Linked DNA regions of Rattus norvegicus. The protein of the gene in region 2 interacts with the protein of the main gene of each other region in a pairwise test. Links are inferred from orthologs where the notes say so. Each region holds a gene or a part of one and is shown on either strand. Other genes may lie near its edges.

What was found.
Region 1: the proteins of Kat7 (region 2) and Dvl3 interact in a two-hybrid assay, tested with the Homo sapiens proteins (2 studies listed by BioGRID and IntAct). The two-hybrid records come from large-scale screens. The link is inferred for Rattus norvegicus from reciprocal best matches to the Homo sapiens genes KAT7 and DVL3.
Region 3: the proteins of Kat7 (region 2) and Ninl interact in a two-hybrid assay, tested with the Homo sapiens proteins (2 studies listed by BioGRID and IntAct). The two-hybrid records come from large-scale screens. The link is inferred for Rattus norvegicus from reciprocal best matches to the Homo sapiens genes KAT7 and NINL.

The regions. Positions count from the first base shown.
Region 1 is NC_086029.1:93,872,664-93,878,423, forward strand, and holds part of Dvl3 (segment polarity protein dishevelled homolog DVL-3), read right to left. Parts: intron 5,608-5,760; coding exon 5,468-5,607; intron 5,373-5,467; coding exon 5,296-5,372; intron 5,191-5,295; coding exon 5,123-5,190; intron 4,995-5,122; coding exon 4,845-4,994; intron 4,344-4,844; coding exon 4,212-4,343; intron 4,050-4,211; coding exon 3,882-4,049; intron 216-3,881; coding exon 1-215. UniProt on the Homo sapiens protein: Involved in the signal transduction pathway mediated by multiple Wnt genes.
Region 2 is NC_086028.1:80,726,910-80,732,669, forward strand, and holds part of Kat7 (histone acetyltransferase KAT7), read right to left. Parts: intron 2,593-5,760; coding exon 2,482-2,592; intron 522-2,481; coding exon 330-521; intron 1-329. UniProt on the Homo sapiens protein: Catalytic subunit of histone acetyltransferase HBO1 complexes, which specifically mediate acetylation of histone H3 at 'Lys-14' (H3K14ac), thereby regulating various processes, such as gene transcription, protein ubiquitination, immune regulation, stem cell pluripotent and self-renewal maintenance and embryonic development.
Region 3 is NC_086021.1:160,225,838-160,231,597, forward strand, and holds part of Ninl (ninein-like protein), read right to left. Parts: intron 5,092-5,760; coding exon 4,917-5,091; intron 3,895-4,916; coding exon 3,784-3,894; intron 3,684-3,783; coding exon 3,603-3,683; intron 1,152-3,602; coding exon 1,019-1,151; intron 1-1,018. UniProt on the Homo sapiens protein: Involved in the microtubule organization in interphase cells. Overexpression induces the fragmentation of the Golgi, and causes lysosomes to disperse toward the cell periphery; it also interferes with mitotic spindle assembly.

The sequences.
Region 1 (5,760 bases), on a different chromosome or scaffold from region 2:
TTCACTGTGCTGACTGCTGGCGCTGCCCCCAGCGTAGCTGTAGCCCAGCTCCGGGAAGCCTGGGTGTGGGTTGTACGGGTGCGGAGGTGGTGGGTACTGGTAAGGGAAAGCCATAGGCCAAGGGGCAGCCCCTGGGTGCGGCAGAGGAGCCAGTGTGTCCTGGTCAGAGGCACCACTGGAGCCATCATGGTCGTGCAGCGATAGGTTGGCCATGTCTGTGGGAAGAGGACTCAGGTAAGCTGGTCTATTGTGGTTCCACACCTACAATCAGGTCTCCAGCAGAAGGCACCACAGGCAACAGTGTTAAAGTTTACGGCCAGAACCGGAGGCCTGCAGATCTCTTTGGCCACTGGCCTCTCTCAATAGCTGTACAGCCAATCCCCACATCTAATCTCCAAGACCTTCAAAGTTTCCTGACACGGGTTCAAGTCCAACCTAGACTACATAGTAAGTCTGAAGCCAGGCTAGGCTCCATTAACACAGTCTCAAAAACAAAACAACAGCAACAAAAAAGACTCCCAAATGAAACAAAAACAGCAAAAACTAAACAAGATTTACTCTACCCACCCCACCTCTCACTTTTTTTTTTCTTTCTTTCTTTCTTTCTTTCTTTTTTTTTTTTTTCAGAGCTGGGGATGGAACCCAGGGCCTTGGGCTTGCTAGTCAAGCGCTCTACCACTGAGCTAAATCCCCAACCCCCACCTCTCACTTCTTATTTTGCCACTTTTTCTTTGGTTGAGAGGAACTGAGTTGGGGAATGTAGAAGGCTGAAGTACTAGAAGCCACCAGGGGTTGTACCATGACTCGTAAGCACAGTATCCAGCGACCCCCAAAAGAGGTAATAACCGCTTCTCCAGGCAAGGAACAAAAGTCCAGAGAGGAGAGCAGAGCTGCAGGCAGAGCAGAAGCTGAGGTGCTCACACTCCTGCCTTTCAGGTAATTATGAGGGGGATGTTTGGGGAAACTCAGTGAGCCTTTGCCCTCCCTCCTCTTGCTCCTCCTAAATAATAGGAATGATAATAATAACACTTATTAAAAGCCCAGAATGAGGGTAGAGAGACAGTTTAGGAACTAAGAGCGCGTGTTGCTCTTGCAGAAGATCTGGGTTTGATTCCTAGCAGCATAAATGGCTCACAGCCATCTGTAACTCCAGTCCCATGGCACAGTGGCCTTTCTGGGCACTGCATGCACATGGTGCTCAGAGGTACACGCAGGCAAGACTCATACGCAAAAATTAAATAAATCTTAAAAAGTAAAAGTTCAGAATGAGCTGGGTGTGGTAGCTTATGCCTTTAATCCCAACACTCAGGAGGCAGAGGTAGGCCTGAGAATTCAAGGCTACCTTGGGCTACATAGTGAGTTCTAGGAAAGCCAGACCCCATGTAGTAAAGGGTCTGTTTCAAAAGAAAAAGAGGGAGAGGAGGAGGAAAAGGGGGGAGAGGAGGAGGAAGAAGAAGAAGAGGAGGAGGAGGAGGAGGAAGAGGAGGAAGAAGAGGAAGAGGAGGAGGAAGAGGAGGAGGAAGAGGAGGAGGAGGAGGAGGAGGAGGAAGAGGAGGTCCAGAATGGCCTGTGTGTTCGTGTGCATCTGACATTCCTGCAGGACTGGGAAGTCCGCCAACTCAGACTACACAGCAGTAGGGGAGGGGAAATTAAAAGAGAGGCAGAATCCTAAATAAATACAATGGTTTTTTAGGGCCTCCTCTATAGAAGGCTCTTGCCCTGGTCACATTTGCTATTGTGGAGAGTGGAGATGGGGTGGAAGGGCCAGAAAGAACAACTCAAATGCCTCCACTGTGCCCTGACTCTAGGCATTACTTCATGGGTTTCTTCCATCCTTGAAACTGTGTACTTCCTAAAGGTAAGCAGTCCTCTCAAGAGCTGGAGCTTCCATGCAGGGAGTAAAATAGGCTACTAGGGCTGATTACCTGCCGAGGACCTGCTCACGTGCACCTCAATTCTAAGAAAGCTATAATTGCCCTGTAGAGGCCACCTACACCATGAGATCTACCTCCAAGCCCAAGGTGATCCAGCCAGCTCTGCAGGAAGAAGCCAGGGTATGAGGCTCTGAAATTGCTTATGGAGCCGGATAGCCAAGCCTCTGACTTGGCAGCCACAGGCAATGAAGGAAAGCAGTGTCCTGTATTGGCTCACACTCAAAGGCCTGCTGATGTCTTTAGCCTATAAGGTGCTGTCCAGAGAACCAACAATAAACTCCATAGTGAGCACATAGTTCCTCATTGAGCCTGCCACATTCCCCATGCTGCAGACTATGACCTCAAAGAAGGAAAAGGTTTTTCTGTCAGCACACCCTGAGCCAACTCTTGGGTGGCCTAGGTGAGGGACCCAGCTAGGCCCAAGAATAAACATCTTTTGAGCAAAACTGCTATGGCTGTCTTGGAAGCTTTGTATATTCCAAGATGTCTAGGGCCCTGGGCTGATGTCTGCTAACAATGACAAAAATAACCAATTTCTCTGAGTCTACTAAACTATTAATGGAAAATATACCCAATTTCAGAGAATGGGATGTGAAAATAGAAGTGCATCTTATAATCAGTTAAATAATGAATGGCAGGCAGCTTTTATGGAGCACTTCTTGTGGGTCACACACTATTCTAAATGGGTGTACATACATTATGTTATGCTTAAGACATCTCCATGGGATGAGTTCTAGCTTACTTCCGTCTCGAACTTAGAAGCTAACACACCTACTGTGATCACAGTAACAGTAGAGTAAGAACTATCTGAGTCCTTGGGGTTGGGGATTTAGCTCAGCGGTAGAGCGCTTGCCTAGGAAGCGCAAAGCCCTGGGTTCGGTCCCCAGCTCCGGAAAAAAAAGAACCAAAAAAAAAAAAAAAAAAAAAAAAAGAACTATCTGAGTCCAAAAATCCTATCACACCTCTGTAAGAGTTGCCGAGGCCAGGAGCCCCAACCTCTACCGAGAGACGCTGCTCTGCAGTGCCAGCCACCGGGTCCCAGAAGCATCTGATCAGTCCTGGGTGTCAGCCAGCACCACAGGTGTAACAGCTGTGTGGGCAGGGGCGGCGGCTGGGCTAGGACTCAGCTGCTGGCACGAACAGCAATGCCTGTGTGAGGGCCTCTGTAGGCTAAAGAGAAGGAAGGGTCTCCTTAGATTATGCTCAGTGGCTCAGGATGAAGTCTCGTAAAGTCCTCTGCTACTGACAGTTTCTCCAGCTTCACACCACGGTACAGTTTACTCCCAGGGCTCTTAGAAAGACCAGGACTCCCTTGCCAGTCCATATCCTTGCTGAGACCATGTGTTTTGGAGCACTGTGTCCCTTGAGAAGCCCAGAACAGTGTGAACTAGAGTCAGAAGAGCTGGAACCAAAGCCTATCTCCTTTGTTTCTAACTGTGAGACCTAGCGTAGACTGTTTTACACCAATAAATTGATTTCTTCATTTGATAACATGGAGATACCCACCCCCACCCCACTAGGAGGTGAAGGCTGAGTGGGATGGTAGGATGACAGCTCAGAAACCACTGGCACCATGTCAAGCATAGAACAGGCACTTAGTGGCAGGCTCCACAGGGAGATGGGAGGGCAGTGAAGAGGCTCCATCAGGCTCTGCTTGTACTGTGGGCCTTTGCGCTTTGAGCCAGACCCCAAGTCAGAGCTTGGAGTTAGGCTTCCTGGAGTCAGCCATCCTATCACAGAGCACCTCCTTACTTCCATCCAGGAGACGAGAAGGTGGGGGATTCTGGGGTGGTAGCATTCACTTATATTCCCATTACTCAGGAGGCTGAGGCAGGGGGATTCCTGCAAATTCAAGTCAAGCTGACTACACAGCAGCTATTAGGTCAGCATGATTTATGTCGCATGGCCCTGTCTCATAAAGGGGGAGGGTGGTGGGAAGACACGTACTGCCACAGAGGTCACCAAAGATGTAGTAGCACTGCTCAGAGAACGTGATCTTGTTGACCGTGTGGCGGATGAATCCAGCCTTCAGCAGGTTGCTAGCGTACTTGCGGGCCTCCCGCCGGTCGGTGAATCCTTCCACATTGTGATACAGCCAGTCCACCACATCTGAGCCTGGGGACAAGGCTGCCAGTTGATTTGGGTTCCTCTAGCTCACAGAAGCTATGATGCCAGGGCGGTTAACAACCCAAAGGTAGGCGAGGAAGAGCCCGGGTCCCCACCCTGCCCTGCCCCTGTCTCCACAACCTGTCCTTCATCTTGCAGTAAGGCTCTCACCGATGAAAGCATTGGGAATGGTAATCTTGAGCCACATGCGGTCTCGGACCTCCAGCCCTGACTCGGGGGAGGCCATGGCTTTTACGATGGCCGCCATGTCACTGTGGATGGAGAGGTGGAAATCATCTAGGCCTGGGGGAAGGGGCAGAGCAGTGAGACAAAGAGGCACTGTGGAGTTAGGAAAACAGGAGTGGCATCTCAGCTCTCCCACTCAACAATGACAAGCCCACCACCAACTCCTTGGACAGTCTCCCCTCCTGTAAAAATGAATGATTAGTGTCTTCACAAGGACATGTGACAGAGGAGCCTAAGCACATGCACATGGGATGACAGTAAACTGGTGCTCCCTCATGTCACGCAGTACCAAGGCTCTAGTTAGAACCTCTCATCGAACCCCACAGGAACCTGGGAAGCATATACTAGTAGCCCCATTGTATGAGAGGAAACTGAGGCTCCGTGGGTGCTCATGGTATGTTAAGAAGCAAACAGTGTTCAGTGAGGCTCTGCGTGCCCTCTGGGGAAGAGCTACGGTGTCCCCTCGAAGGCTCCCCCCGATGCACAGTGGGTCCCTCCACCAATCCTCCCACCTGGCCCGTCTGCTGGGTGGCCCAAGGGACAGACTTGAATACTCACGTTCTGTGTCGGGGATGGAGCTGGTGATGGAGGAGCTGGTGGAGGTGATGGTGCTTAAGGAGGGGCTCATGCCATAGGCAGGGAAGGTTCCTGTCATGGCTGCAGTGTGGGAGACCCAGGCTGCAGGGTCAATGGGACGGATGGGCTCACCTGCAGGGAAGATGGGTCATCACAGGCTGCCCACCCTGCCTATTACAGTGTCTAACATGTAAGGAGAAGAGAGGAGCATGGTTTATACAGCCAACACCAACTTTACGGATGATCCCTTGTCTACTTACTCCGGGGTAATGTGAAGCAGCCACGAGGACTTGGGTCCCAGCACTTGGCTACAGTCAGAGTGATGGGCCTGAAAGCAAGGTTGTCCTAATAAAGGCAGGATGCACACAGGCCAGACCAAGTCTCCTGCCAGAAGTGCCTGGCCCACCTTCCCCCAGTCCCATGCTGTTCATACCCTGGTTTGTGCACGATCTCCCGAAGCACTCTGACTGCGTCATCATTACTCATGTTCTCGAAGTTGATCTCATTTACCTGAGAAAGAGGGCTAGGAGTGAGAAAACAGGGAGTGCTCAGGAGATGGACAGGGGAGCTGGGGTTGAGGGTTTTCCCAGGGTAGTAGACGATACCTGCAACAGCATATCTCCCGGCTCAATGCGTCCATCAGCCGCCACTGCCCCACCCTTCATGATGGAGCCAATGTAGATGCCCCCATCACCTCGCTCATTGCTCTGGCCCACAATGGAGATGCCCAAGAAGTTATACTTTTCTGCAGGGAATAATTTAACACCTTGAGAAGGGCAGGGTTCCTACCCAAATTCCCAGCTCCTTGTTAGTACAGGGCAGAAAGGGGCAATAATTAACATCACAACCAGGCAAACATTACTGTACAGTATACACATAGACACACTTTCGATTTTCC
Region 2 (5,760 bases):
CAGTGTCCTGTTCTATCTAACAGAATATATGCGTTTCATTAAGTTTGGTACAAACACAAACTGTAGGGAGAGGTAATTAATGTGCTGAAGAAACAACAAAAGACAAAAAACAAGAAGAAAAGACGTTTATGGACAGGGTGTAGTTAAGATGCTATGCAGCACTGGTCCGGGCAAAGGGTTACCCAGAAATGTGACTTTCAGTTCCTTAAGTCTCCACCCTATTGCTGTGGACACTTGGGAAATGTCACTTTTTGGACACTTATGCTATCTCTGGAACATAACTGGGAAACCATGTAACATCCCCTCGTGATGTGAACAAGAAAACACACCATGTGTCGGCGGAGAATCGTTTGGCTCTTCATGTATTTTAAGCAGAATTCACACATGTAGAGACGTCCCAGTCGTGCATATTCTTCAGGATAGGGAGAATGGTACCAAGTATCCAGCTCGTAGCGGCCAAAAGCAATTGTTTTAATCATGTTGCTTCCCTCTGTGATTTGGCCTTGAAGCCTTAACTTCTCCTATTGACAAGAAGAAACCAAAACAAATAAATCCTTATCTTTGGTTTTAAAATTAGATTTTTATCTACACAATAATGTATGTTTTGTTTGTGCATAAACATGCATGCATGTGTGCATGTGTTTATACCTCACACGCATGCCTGCACATGTCAGAAAAGGGCATCAGACGTCCCAAACTGAAGTTATAGGTAGCTGTGAGCCACCATATGGGTGCTGGGAACTCAATGTGTTTTCTTTGCAAAAACAGCAAATGCTCTTAACTGCTGAGCTATCTCCAGCCTCTATTACCCTTATTCTTAACAATTTCTACCAGGCCAGCAACTAAGGTATAAAAAGACTTAGCTAGATTTGGCCTCTGTCCATAGATGGCTACTAATGTGTTACTTGAGCATAAAAATAAATAAATAAATAAATAAATAAATAAATAAATAAATAAATAAGGCACGTTCATAGAAAATGGGCCAGCTATACTGCCCAGCTATCTTTAAAAGAAAAAACGTTTTTGTGTTTTAACCGAACCTCAAATGAGGATATAATGGGGATGACCTTGAACTCCTGAATTGGCTCCCTTCATTTCCAGATAATGTGGCCACAGGTTCGTGCCACCACAGCAGATTTATGTGGTGTTGGAGATGGAACCCAGGGTATCCTGGATCCCAGATAAGTACACTACCAAAAAAGCTATAGTCCCAGCCCACTTCTGTTTGTTTTTATTTTTAATGTTTGGTTATTGTGTGTGTATGTAAAGACAAGTAGAGATCAGAGCAGCTTGTGGGGAGTCAGTTCTCTCCTCCTACAGATCTCGAGGCTATTCAGGTTTGACCTCTGCGGCTATCCTCCTGGTCCTCCTCCCTGACTAGGGCTTGGATTCCAGGTGCACAACAGGCAATTACTGTTTGCAGTAACCAGCTGGAGAAGTAGGACCTGGCTGGCCTGAGGCAATGATCTTCATGATGGAAAGGAAGAGCAGGAGGTGGCGACCAATCCCAGACCAGAGCAGCCACCAAACCTGCCTCTTGCAACTCATAATAAAAGGAAGGAGGGGGAGGAGAGAAGGATGATGAAAGGGGTGATGGGGAAGGGGGCAATGAACGGGATATAAAGTGAGTAAAAATAAATGTTTTTAAAAAGAAGGGAAGGAAATGAAATTAACACTACAAACTCAATTTCCCTGAGCACATTTAATTTGTTTTATCATAAGTAAAATCAGTTTCTACAACGTTTTCTAGGCCAGCCACAGGTACTGTATCAAATGCAAACAAAAGGAGCACTTCTGCCTAGATATCTCACGTACCAATGAGCCCAGAAGTCTCAAACTTGCTTGGGCAACAAGATAAGATCTCCTTATCAAAAAAATCAACAAATTCAACAACATATCTGGCCTTCCCCATTTTTCTTTGCTGTTATTTACATGCTTTTAGGGTAAATGGATGAAATGGAAAGAAACCCTATAAAGAGGACGGTGCTATACACCGAAGTCCTAGGTTCCCAGACTGTACATTTCACCTAGTAGATATAAAAGGCACCTACAAAATAAGTTTTAAGCACCCCGGCCCCAACCTCAAGCAAACTGGATCTTCCAGTTAAGGGAGACACAGGAGGGAAGGGTGAGCAGGGGGTGCGTTCTCTACGTAAAGAGAAGACGAGTGGGCTGGAGAGATGGCTCAGTGGTTAAGAGCACCCGACTGCTCTTCCCGAGGTCCTGAGTTCAATTCCCAGCAACCACATGGTGGCTCACAACCATCTGTAATGGGATCTGATGCTCTCTTCTGGTGTGTCTGAAGACAGCTACAGTGTACTTATATATAATAAATGAATAAATAAATCTTAAAAAAAAAAAAAGAGAAGACAACCTCTAAAGACAGCCGAGATATCTCATCATACTTGTTTTCACCTTTCTTGGCAGTTCGAAGGGCTTTTCACATGGTCCTCCACTCACTGTGGGGATTTTGGTACTCACCAAATCCTCAGAAGCCCGGGCTTGTGCTCTTCGGAAAAGATCTAAGTCATATTCACTCGTCAGGTTTTCCAAGAGAGGCTCCCGAGTGTTCCCATAGGTCTGTCTGTGTTCCTAGAAAAAAGTAACCAGGGGTGATCCCATCTGTTGTGGAACTTGGTTTATTTCACTCCAATGGAAGCCAAGCTGGACCAGGTGCTTGCTATTTACAAAGTACCCATCATGGCAGTGGTGCAGGGGACTGAGGTCAGGCAATGGTAACAGTGGTGAGGTCAGAGACTGCTCTTGCTCGCCTCATCAATCTGAGCAACATAAAGGCCAGCAGCCCCAAGGTGGCACGATAGTTCCTAGAATCCGAGAGCCGGCCAGCTCGAGTGAAGCAAACATGGCTCTGGCAGCCTTGCCTTCTCCCCCATTCCCTCTGCCCTGCTAAAAACCACCAGATTGCACTCCTAAAGCTGCCACCAAGATATCTCTGTGAAAACAGGGGTTTGTGCCTAATCTGGGTTGCTCTGTGTGGGGTGTAAGGGTTTCCTTCACTGATGACACTCTGACAGAGAAGCAGGTACTCCAGGCATTAGTATTTGAAGAGAGCACTCAAGCTAAGGGAGGGCAAGCAGCTGGACCAGTGGGCCCATGGAAACTGCTTCTGACATTACTTCACTGACTGCTCAACTTGTAAGGTCAAGTCAAGTGCGCAGCTCCTGGAATGTTTACTAACTGCTAAACATTAAAGAAAAATTAAATATAATTAAGAACAGAAAAGGAATCCAGTTTTAAATTAACTTTCAAATCTTACCAAGCTGGTAAGTCTCCTTTCCCTGGAAGGAAGGCAGGAGGAGGAAGAGGAGGAGGAAGACTTCTCCTTAAAACTGATTCTAGCCTCTCTCTTTCTGCCTCAGAAGACAAGACAATGGGAGTTCTGAGAAGTAGGAGGAAGAACATTCTATATGCTAACACACATTAGCATCTAAAGAAAGCACTCAATCTACGAACATTTCCTTATGGCTAATATGGCTCAGTATGTTGTAACTTCTTTCTTTAATTTGTCTCTGTGACTTAAGATTTAGGTTCGAAGTATTACTGACTTCTTCTAACAATCCACCTTCCCCTTTCTCTTACACTGAGAAAGGATTTCATGTAGCTCTGCCTCCACTTCCCAATGCTGGGATTACAGGCAAGCCTGAGACCACAGCGCTGGAGAATCAAACTCAACATGTCTTGTACTCAGGCAAAGACTAAACCAACGAAGTCATTTCTCCAGATCAAAACAAAACCCAACCAGCCCGGGCTGGGGCCACACCCCTGCAACCCACACTTAGGAGGTGTAGAATCGGCTAAGGACAGTCCCAGCCATACATTAGTACATTCAAGGCCAGCCTCCGCCATATGAGACCCTATTTCAAAAATGTAAGCAACAAGAAAAATTTCTATCTAGCGCTTTTTAAATTAGGAAAAGACCCAAATAACGTGTCTCGAGCTGGTGAAAAGCATATCTGAAAGGTGAAACAGCTCGATAGCATTTACATCAGACACTTTCTACCTATAAAAATTTGAAGATTTGGGGTTGGGGATTTAGCTCAGTGGTAGAGCGCTTGCCTAGCAAGCGCAAGGCCCTGGGTTCGGTCCCCAGCTCCGGGGGGGGGGGGGGGGGAATCTACAATTTATAAATCAGCTACAACTTATAAATCATACACTTATTGCCTATTCTAATGACAAAGTGGAATAGCGTTCCAATTCTATGAAGAAAATACTCAAAAAAAATCACATATCAACACAATACACTACACAAACACACACACACACATATGTGTATTAAAAATGTACTTTTTTGTTCATGACAGGGTCTCATTCTATAGTTCAGAAGGCTCAGGTGTCTTACTTTGTGGCTCAAGCTGGCCCTAAACTCATAGCCTCCCTGAATGTGTGAGTCACTACTTCTGACTACTTTTTGTTTTGTTTTGAAACAGGGTCTTGCAATGCTGCCCAGGGTGACCTCTAGGCATAGACCACCATGTCTGGCTATATTTCAGTAGAAAATGTACTAATACATGTCTAGTAAAAGTAAATCTTTAACTGAAAAGCTGTATTTTTTTTTTCCAGAGCTGAGGACCGAACCCAGGGCCTTGCACTTGCTAAATCCCCAACCCTGAAAAGCTAGCTCTATTTTATGCAGAAAAGGCTGAAAGATTTTAATATGAGGACATTAGTTCAAGCTTTTTAAAGGAAAAGACAAGACAACCGGGTGGTGTGGGAGAACACAGAAAATGGCAAATGAAGAGGATTCTTTTTCTAAAAAACAGTTTATGTGCAGGACTGGAGAGATGCCTCAGCAGTTAAGAGCACTGACTGCTCTTTTGGAGGTCATCACTTCACTTCCCAGCAACCACATGGTGGCCCACAACCATCTGTGATGGGATCCGATGCCCTCTTCTGGTGTGTCTATACTCATATAAATAAATCTTAACAATAAATTTATATGTATTGGTGTTTTGTCTGTATGTGAATCTGTGTGTGTTTGATCGCCTGGAATTGGAGTTAGGGACAGTTGTGAGCTGCCATGTGGGTGCTGGGAATTAAACCTGGGTCCTCAGGAAGAGCAGTCAGTGCTCTTAACCTCTGAGTCCTCTCTCAGTCCCCAAAAAGGCAAGTTATATAGTTAAAATAAAAAGCTAAAAACTTGATAAAATGCTAATCGTGGCTATTTTCAGGTAGGTTAATCTTATCTTCTGTATGCTATTCGTAACTTTCCCTTATTATTATAAAGTGTACATCATATTCAAAGTTAGTTCTTAGATGCTCATCTATATCCCGATCCCCTGAATGTTTTATCTTATGCAGCCATTTCTAATGTCATTGGTATTTGTTCTAATAGGCATATTTGCCTCCCTGTCCCAGGACTGCAGATTGAACCTAGCCCCTTTGCATACACTACTACTAACAGAAACGACTGGGAGTTTATTTTTCATTTGGGAACAGGGTCCAGCTAAGTTGCTGAGGCTGATTTGGACAACACTTGGTAGCCTGGTAGGCCTAGACCACATCATCTTCTTGCCTCAGTCTTCAGAGTAGCTGAGGTTACAGAGCAGCACCAACAGGACCCCCTTAAATGTAATTTTTTAAAATGATATTGAAGGTGTTCTACCAACTGGGCTGCATCCCTAGGCCCTGAGGATGGAAATCTCAAAAACATCAACTCTACTGCAACTGTATAATCCCTGACTCACTCAACAGCTAGCTCTAACTTGTGGGAGGGTGCTAGGCAGCTGAAGAGAGCCCCAG
Region 3 (5,760 bases), on a different chromosome or scaffold from region 2:
TGGGAAATCCTGGCTCTGTGAGGGCTCTGATGGGTGCAGAGGAAAATGTGAACAGCTCCACAATGCTCTATCCCTGCACTCCTGACCAAGGCCACATGCTCTGTGCAACTCAGGCTCCTACTGACACCAGAGGAGCAACCATCACGCTCTACCTTCTGGCTAGGCTGGGCTCTGGGCTGAACTGCACAACAAGGGACTGCACCCCACACCTTCTTCCCCTCCCTTAACTCCCCCCTCTAATAGGGGTATGCCAAGGCCACTCTCTATTTCTTCCTGAGACTCCCTGGGGATTCTGGCAGCCATCTAGACCTCACAAAGGTAAAGTTCCTCATGGAGAGCCTAAGAGTATATCTTTTTTGTTTGTTTGTTTGTGTTTTTGTCTTTCCACCATAAACAGCTGTAGGATGCATGGAGGCTCAAGTGCTCTGAGGTTGGAGAACCACACTGAGGGGCTTAGGCTGCCACTATGTAACTGGGGAGGGCTGCTGAATTCCATGGGGTCAAGAGTGTCACCTGCTACTGCTGAAGACAGCAGAGCTGGAGTGACTGCCTGGTACAACCAGTAAGAAGGCAGAGACCACCTAAGTACCCCCGTCCTCCACAAGAACTGTGCCACCTCCACAACAGCGGCCTTGGCCTCTAAAAAAGACCAAGAACACTTAAACATGGGCCCTCGTCTTGACCCCACTGTCCGAGAGCAGAAGAGCCTGAAGTGTGTTTTCCACTGAACCCAGCGGCCAGGATTCCCTCAACTGGGAATGTCCTATGCCCACCATGCTATATGACCTCCCAAGTCCAGCACTGTCACAAAGTTGCCTGTGACCTCATAGGCTCCAACGTGGAAACATGCCCCTCAGGCAAATTTGCCTCCTTTGGAGTCAAGGAATTATAACCTTCGTGATTTCTACAAACATTTTCCGTCCTGCTCTCATCTTTTCCTCTGGGGTGCCACATGTCCAGCCTTGTGGTCATGCCCTGGAGCCCCACTCTCAACTTAGCCTCCAGACTGAGCTCCTACCTGCTGGGCCACGTCCAGGGGTCCACCTTCTATGGGTGCCTGGGGTCCCTGAGGGGCTCTGTCGACTCCTGGGCAGCCGCACCCGCAGGCCCTCTAGCTCTGCTTGCAACTCATCATTGCGGTCCTGTAGGTCCTGTGTGGGCAGAGACAGATAACCTCCTCCAGCTGCTGCAGCCACTCAGCCTTGGGAGGCCAAACCCAAGATCAGCCCCACTCTGTAGTAAGCATCCACTACAGACTAGACATCAGGCAGGTGTGGGTTCTGGACTTCCGGCATGTACATTAAATCTGCACCTAAGACTCTAACTACCTAGGTCCTGGCGGAGCTAGGGAAACCATTTCTCGACACTCATGCTTATGTCACTGGATATATAAAAGGAGTTCAAGCACAAAAGGAAAGCTGAGGCTATGAGGAAAATTCTCAACAGGTGCTGCTATATCAAGTAGTGGTGTGCTGCACGCATGGGCACTGACATCTTGGGACATCTCTGGGGCTGTGTTTGTTCCTCCCCCCAGTCGCTGTGGAATTGGCATGGAGTTCTATAGTTGTTAGGCCATTTGCTTTAGATTAAATGCTACAGAGCAGTGATGCCCTTAGCAGAGAGAAAAGGTATTATCTGGGAAACAGAGGCCTGATGGAGTACAGTCTGCTGGGCAATAGGAGACTGGACTGGGAGATGTCTCTCCCAGATCTCCAGATCTCCCTCTGGTGAGGACGAAGAGTCTGCATTTGTGACAAGAGTCTCCTCTGGACTTCAGTGAAATGTGTATGGATGAGAAGGCTCAGCCACTTGCTCATCAAAAGGACAAGAAAAGAAACTTCCGGCATAGTCCTGGAAAATCCTGAGAAGTACGAGAACAGTCAGTCAGCCCTGCCTGGCTCATGTCCCCAGTTCTGAGGTTGCTCCCTAAAAACACGCATGGCCACTGTCTTTCAAGGATATTCATCTACTCAGCGTGTAGGGTACTCCGCCTGGATGAAGCCTACGACAGATCACAGGGAAAGACGCCAAGGACACACGCAAACAGTAGCAGTTCCATTTCGGAGTGTGTTTTCTGACTGATTCTACAGCCTTCTGCAATGTAGGACCAATTTTCATATCATGTAAGGTTACTTTATAACTCTCGGTATCATAACAATGCCTCTCTTGGTATTCTCAATAGTAGCTACAGATTTTCAGCATGAGTTGACTTAAAGCAAAGCCTTACAGTCAGCATAGCTGTAAAGTATCAGATGCAACTGAATTCAGCTGTCTGCTCCCCCTGTCCTTTAGAAATGTCAAGATAGCTATAAATTATTGTGTTTGTCACATTTTTATTATTGTCGTAAAAACAGAGAAATTAACTGACTGAACAGTAATGCTACTGACACCCTGAGATTTTCTGTCAGTGGGGTTCCTTATTGAATGGGTTTGTTTTATTTTTGCTTTCAAGACCAGACCTAGGACTTAGGCATGCTATGTATGGGGGTCGACTAATGAGCTACGACTTCATGTAAAATTTTAAGTGCCCATTACCTGAGAACCCATATTACTTATCCTTGGTCACTTGGCAGTGCAGCCTCTGTAGGTGATCCTAGAATCACGAGTGTTATTCCAAGACTATGACATTTTCTATTAAATTAACATAAGCAGCAGCTACTGTTTCAGTCCCCTTGATACCTGCAATCTAAAGGAGCAAGAGGGTGGGCCTGTGGGCTCTCATGATTTGGTTGTTGCTTGTTTGTTTTTAAGCTAAGCTTACAATATTTTTTCAGACTGCCGTGTTTGTTTTGTTGTAGGTTTTGGATTGGGGGTTTTTGGAGACGAGGTCTCAGGCAGCCCAGGTTGCCTTCCAACTGGCTGTATAGTCAAGAGATAAATGGCCCTGAGCTCCTAATCCTCAGGCCTCTCCTCCCAAGATCAGGGATTATAGGCATTTACTTGCTTTTAGGTTGACCTTCAGCTCCTGGGTGCAAGCATTTCTCCTGCATCGGCTGTTGCATTTGCAGAGACAGCACACTATTGCATATCTACCTTCAAGGGCAAGGGTTTCTACAGTGTCTAAAGTCAACCACATATGTGCCGCTCTTTGTAAATAGTGCCTCTGGTAAGTTTTACACCAATTAACTTTTGGTAAATTAAGCCTAACCAAGAGCTGACTAATAAGGATTTGTGGCAGATCTTCAGTAATTCAAAGGTCTTTTTCTTATTAGAAGCGGGTCATTTCAACTCTGATTTTCCTTTCTGATCTTCGTACACTGAAATTTCTTTAGGAGGATTCATTTGGAAGTACAGTCGGGGAACACTTTCTGTCTTGGGATTTGACTAGTCATGCAATGCCCATGTATGGCTGACCAAAGACTAAAATAAGAAGTTCTTGCTGGAAAAGAAGCTCTTGCAATCACTTATGGGGCATCCTGCACTTGACGACCAAGGAGAAGATGGGAAAGAGATGAGGCCTCACGTGGCCACTGGGGTCTTGAGCCAGGTGTTGGTTCTGTGTAGCAGGCCCACCCCTTCCTGCCACTGCTGTAGGGCAGGCTGTAGGAATAGGACTCAGGGGTGCTCGAGATGGGTAAGCAGACTCAGGGGAAGACACGCACCCTGCACTTAAGCTCATAATCATTCAAGATGGCTGTGAACTGCTCTTCCTGGGCCAGGAGTTCCATGCTCTGAGGCTCCAGCTGAAAGAGAGAAACATGTGCATACCAGCATGTCAGGTTTCCTGGAAGACAGGCCATGATGCCCTGACCACAGAAACTGCTGTGAGTAGAAAAGGCTTGCCTTGTCCTTCAGCACAAACTGGAGGTCACTCTGCAGGCGGAGAACCAGCTTCTCGGAATCCGAAAGCTTTTCCACCACTTCTATGATCTCCTTCTGCAATCGACTGTTTTCCTAGGAGACAGGTGGGTATGGGCTGGGTTCAGGACACAGAGAAAGATGCTGACAAGTCTCTACATCACTTCTTTGTATGGCAGAGGCTTGTTCCCACCATACAGCAGCTTTTTCAGGAAAAGCCCCGAGAGCGAACGTGTGGCTGCCTGCTGCCTCACCAAGCAGGCAGGGTGCGCTGTTAGAACCCGATCTCTTACGACAAACCTAACACCACTGAGGTGACTGTCTGCCCACCATCTTCCCTTTCTCTGCTCCCACTCCCATGTTCAGAACGTTCATGGGGGAAGGAAGAAAGGGCTGGTAAGGCGTCGTGTTTAAGCTGCTTTTTTTTTTTTTTTTTTGGTTCTTTTTTTTCGGAGCTGGGGACCGAACCCAGGGCCTTGCGCTTCCTAGGTAAGCGCTCTACCACTGAGCTAAATCCCCAGCCCCTTAAGCTGCTTTTAAAGTGATAGGTTTAAAGTTGTATCAAAATGGCTCAGAGGTCCAGCATAGGGTGTTGGAAGAAAAGTGCTGTGCTGAGAAGGGTCAAGAGAGTACCATCACATCAGTGGGTGATGTGAGTTATGTCCAGATACTCTTACCACATTGGGCAGGGGCTGCAGGAGCCAGGGAGGTGGGGAAAAGGCCAGAGGCCCTTAGGCATTAGGAAAGAAGAAGCTGGGAGCAGAACAGAAAGAAGGCACACAGGCAAGTGCTTCTGGAGCTTGGCTGTCCACACAGCTAAGATGGCTTTGGGGAGCCAAAAGCAGGGTAGGTACAAGGCAGGGACACTCACCCAAACCCTAAAAGTTGTGGCTATGAATCCAGGTCATGGCAGGCAGTGTCTAGAGGTGTTCCTTGACCCTAGGGATGCAGCCATACTGGCTGCGGTAGCTGATTCACTCTGATTTTGAGATCATATGACTTAGGATAGAGGAGAATGGAGCAAAGCCAAGACCTCCTACTTTGAGTGAGAGCATGACATCACCCTGCTCTGCCAATATGCGCCTTCCCAGTGTACAGCAGGGACGCATCCCACCTACCTTGAGAGCCAGTGTCAGTTTCTCACGCAGACTGGTCTCCTCAGCCTGGAGGCGGCCCACATCCTGCTCCAGCACGGCTCTCTGCCTGCGGGCTTGCTCCCAGAACAGCTCCCGCTCCATCTCCACCTCGGACCGCAGGAGGCTCAGCCTTCCCCTGTACTCCTGCTCTAGGTGCCTACAACAGAGCACACAATGCACAGTCCCACCGGGAGTGTCACTCTGCCCTCTGCATGTTCTTCCTTCCTGGACTGGAGGAGCTGACCCGAGACAAGGAGCTCGGGGTGGTGGTGGCAAACACTCAGAGCTACACTTGGAGTCCTGGAGCGAGCAAGTGGGTAGAGATCTCTGTGCAGATCCCTTGATGTCCTATGTCTCTCCACCTATTGCACCCACATTGTACCACATCATACCAGGCAGCCCCTACCTACAGAAGCCCTGTGGCAGGCCTCTGATGCCAGATGATCAAAGTCAGCCTCCCTTTATAGGAACCAGGCTGCACAAAACCCGTGGACAGTGAACTCCCGTGATCAGGAGTAGGCGTAGGAACTGCTCCCTCAGAGTCTTCTCAGCCTCTGCAAGTGCTGCCGACAGTGGGAAAGAGGAGCAATCTAGTGACCGCACTGCTCACCTGACTTGGTCATCTGCCATCTGTTTTCTAAATAAGCACTCTAGCTTTGAACCATACCCAAAGCCCTTTCTACTCTCCTTTCCATAACAGCTTCACTGTGAAAACAGAGGGACTTCATGAGCAGTTCTGAGAAGGCAGGAAAACAAGGAGAGGGTCTTAGAGGAGCAAGTGTAGGAATGAGAGTCAGCCTGGGCCAGAGCACTGGGGAGGAGTTCA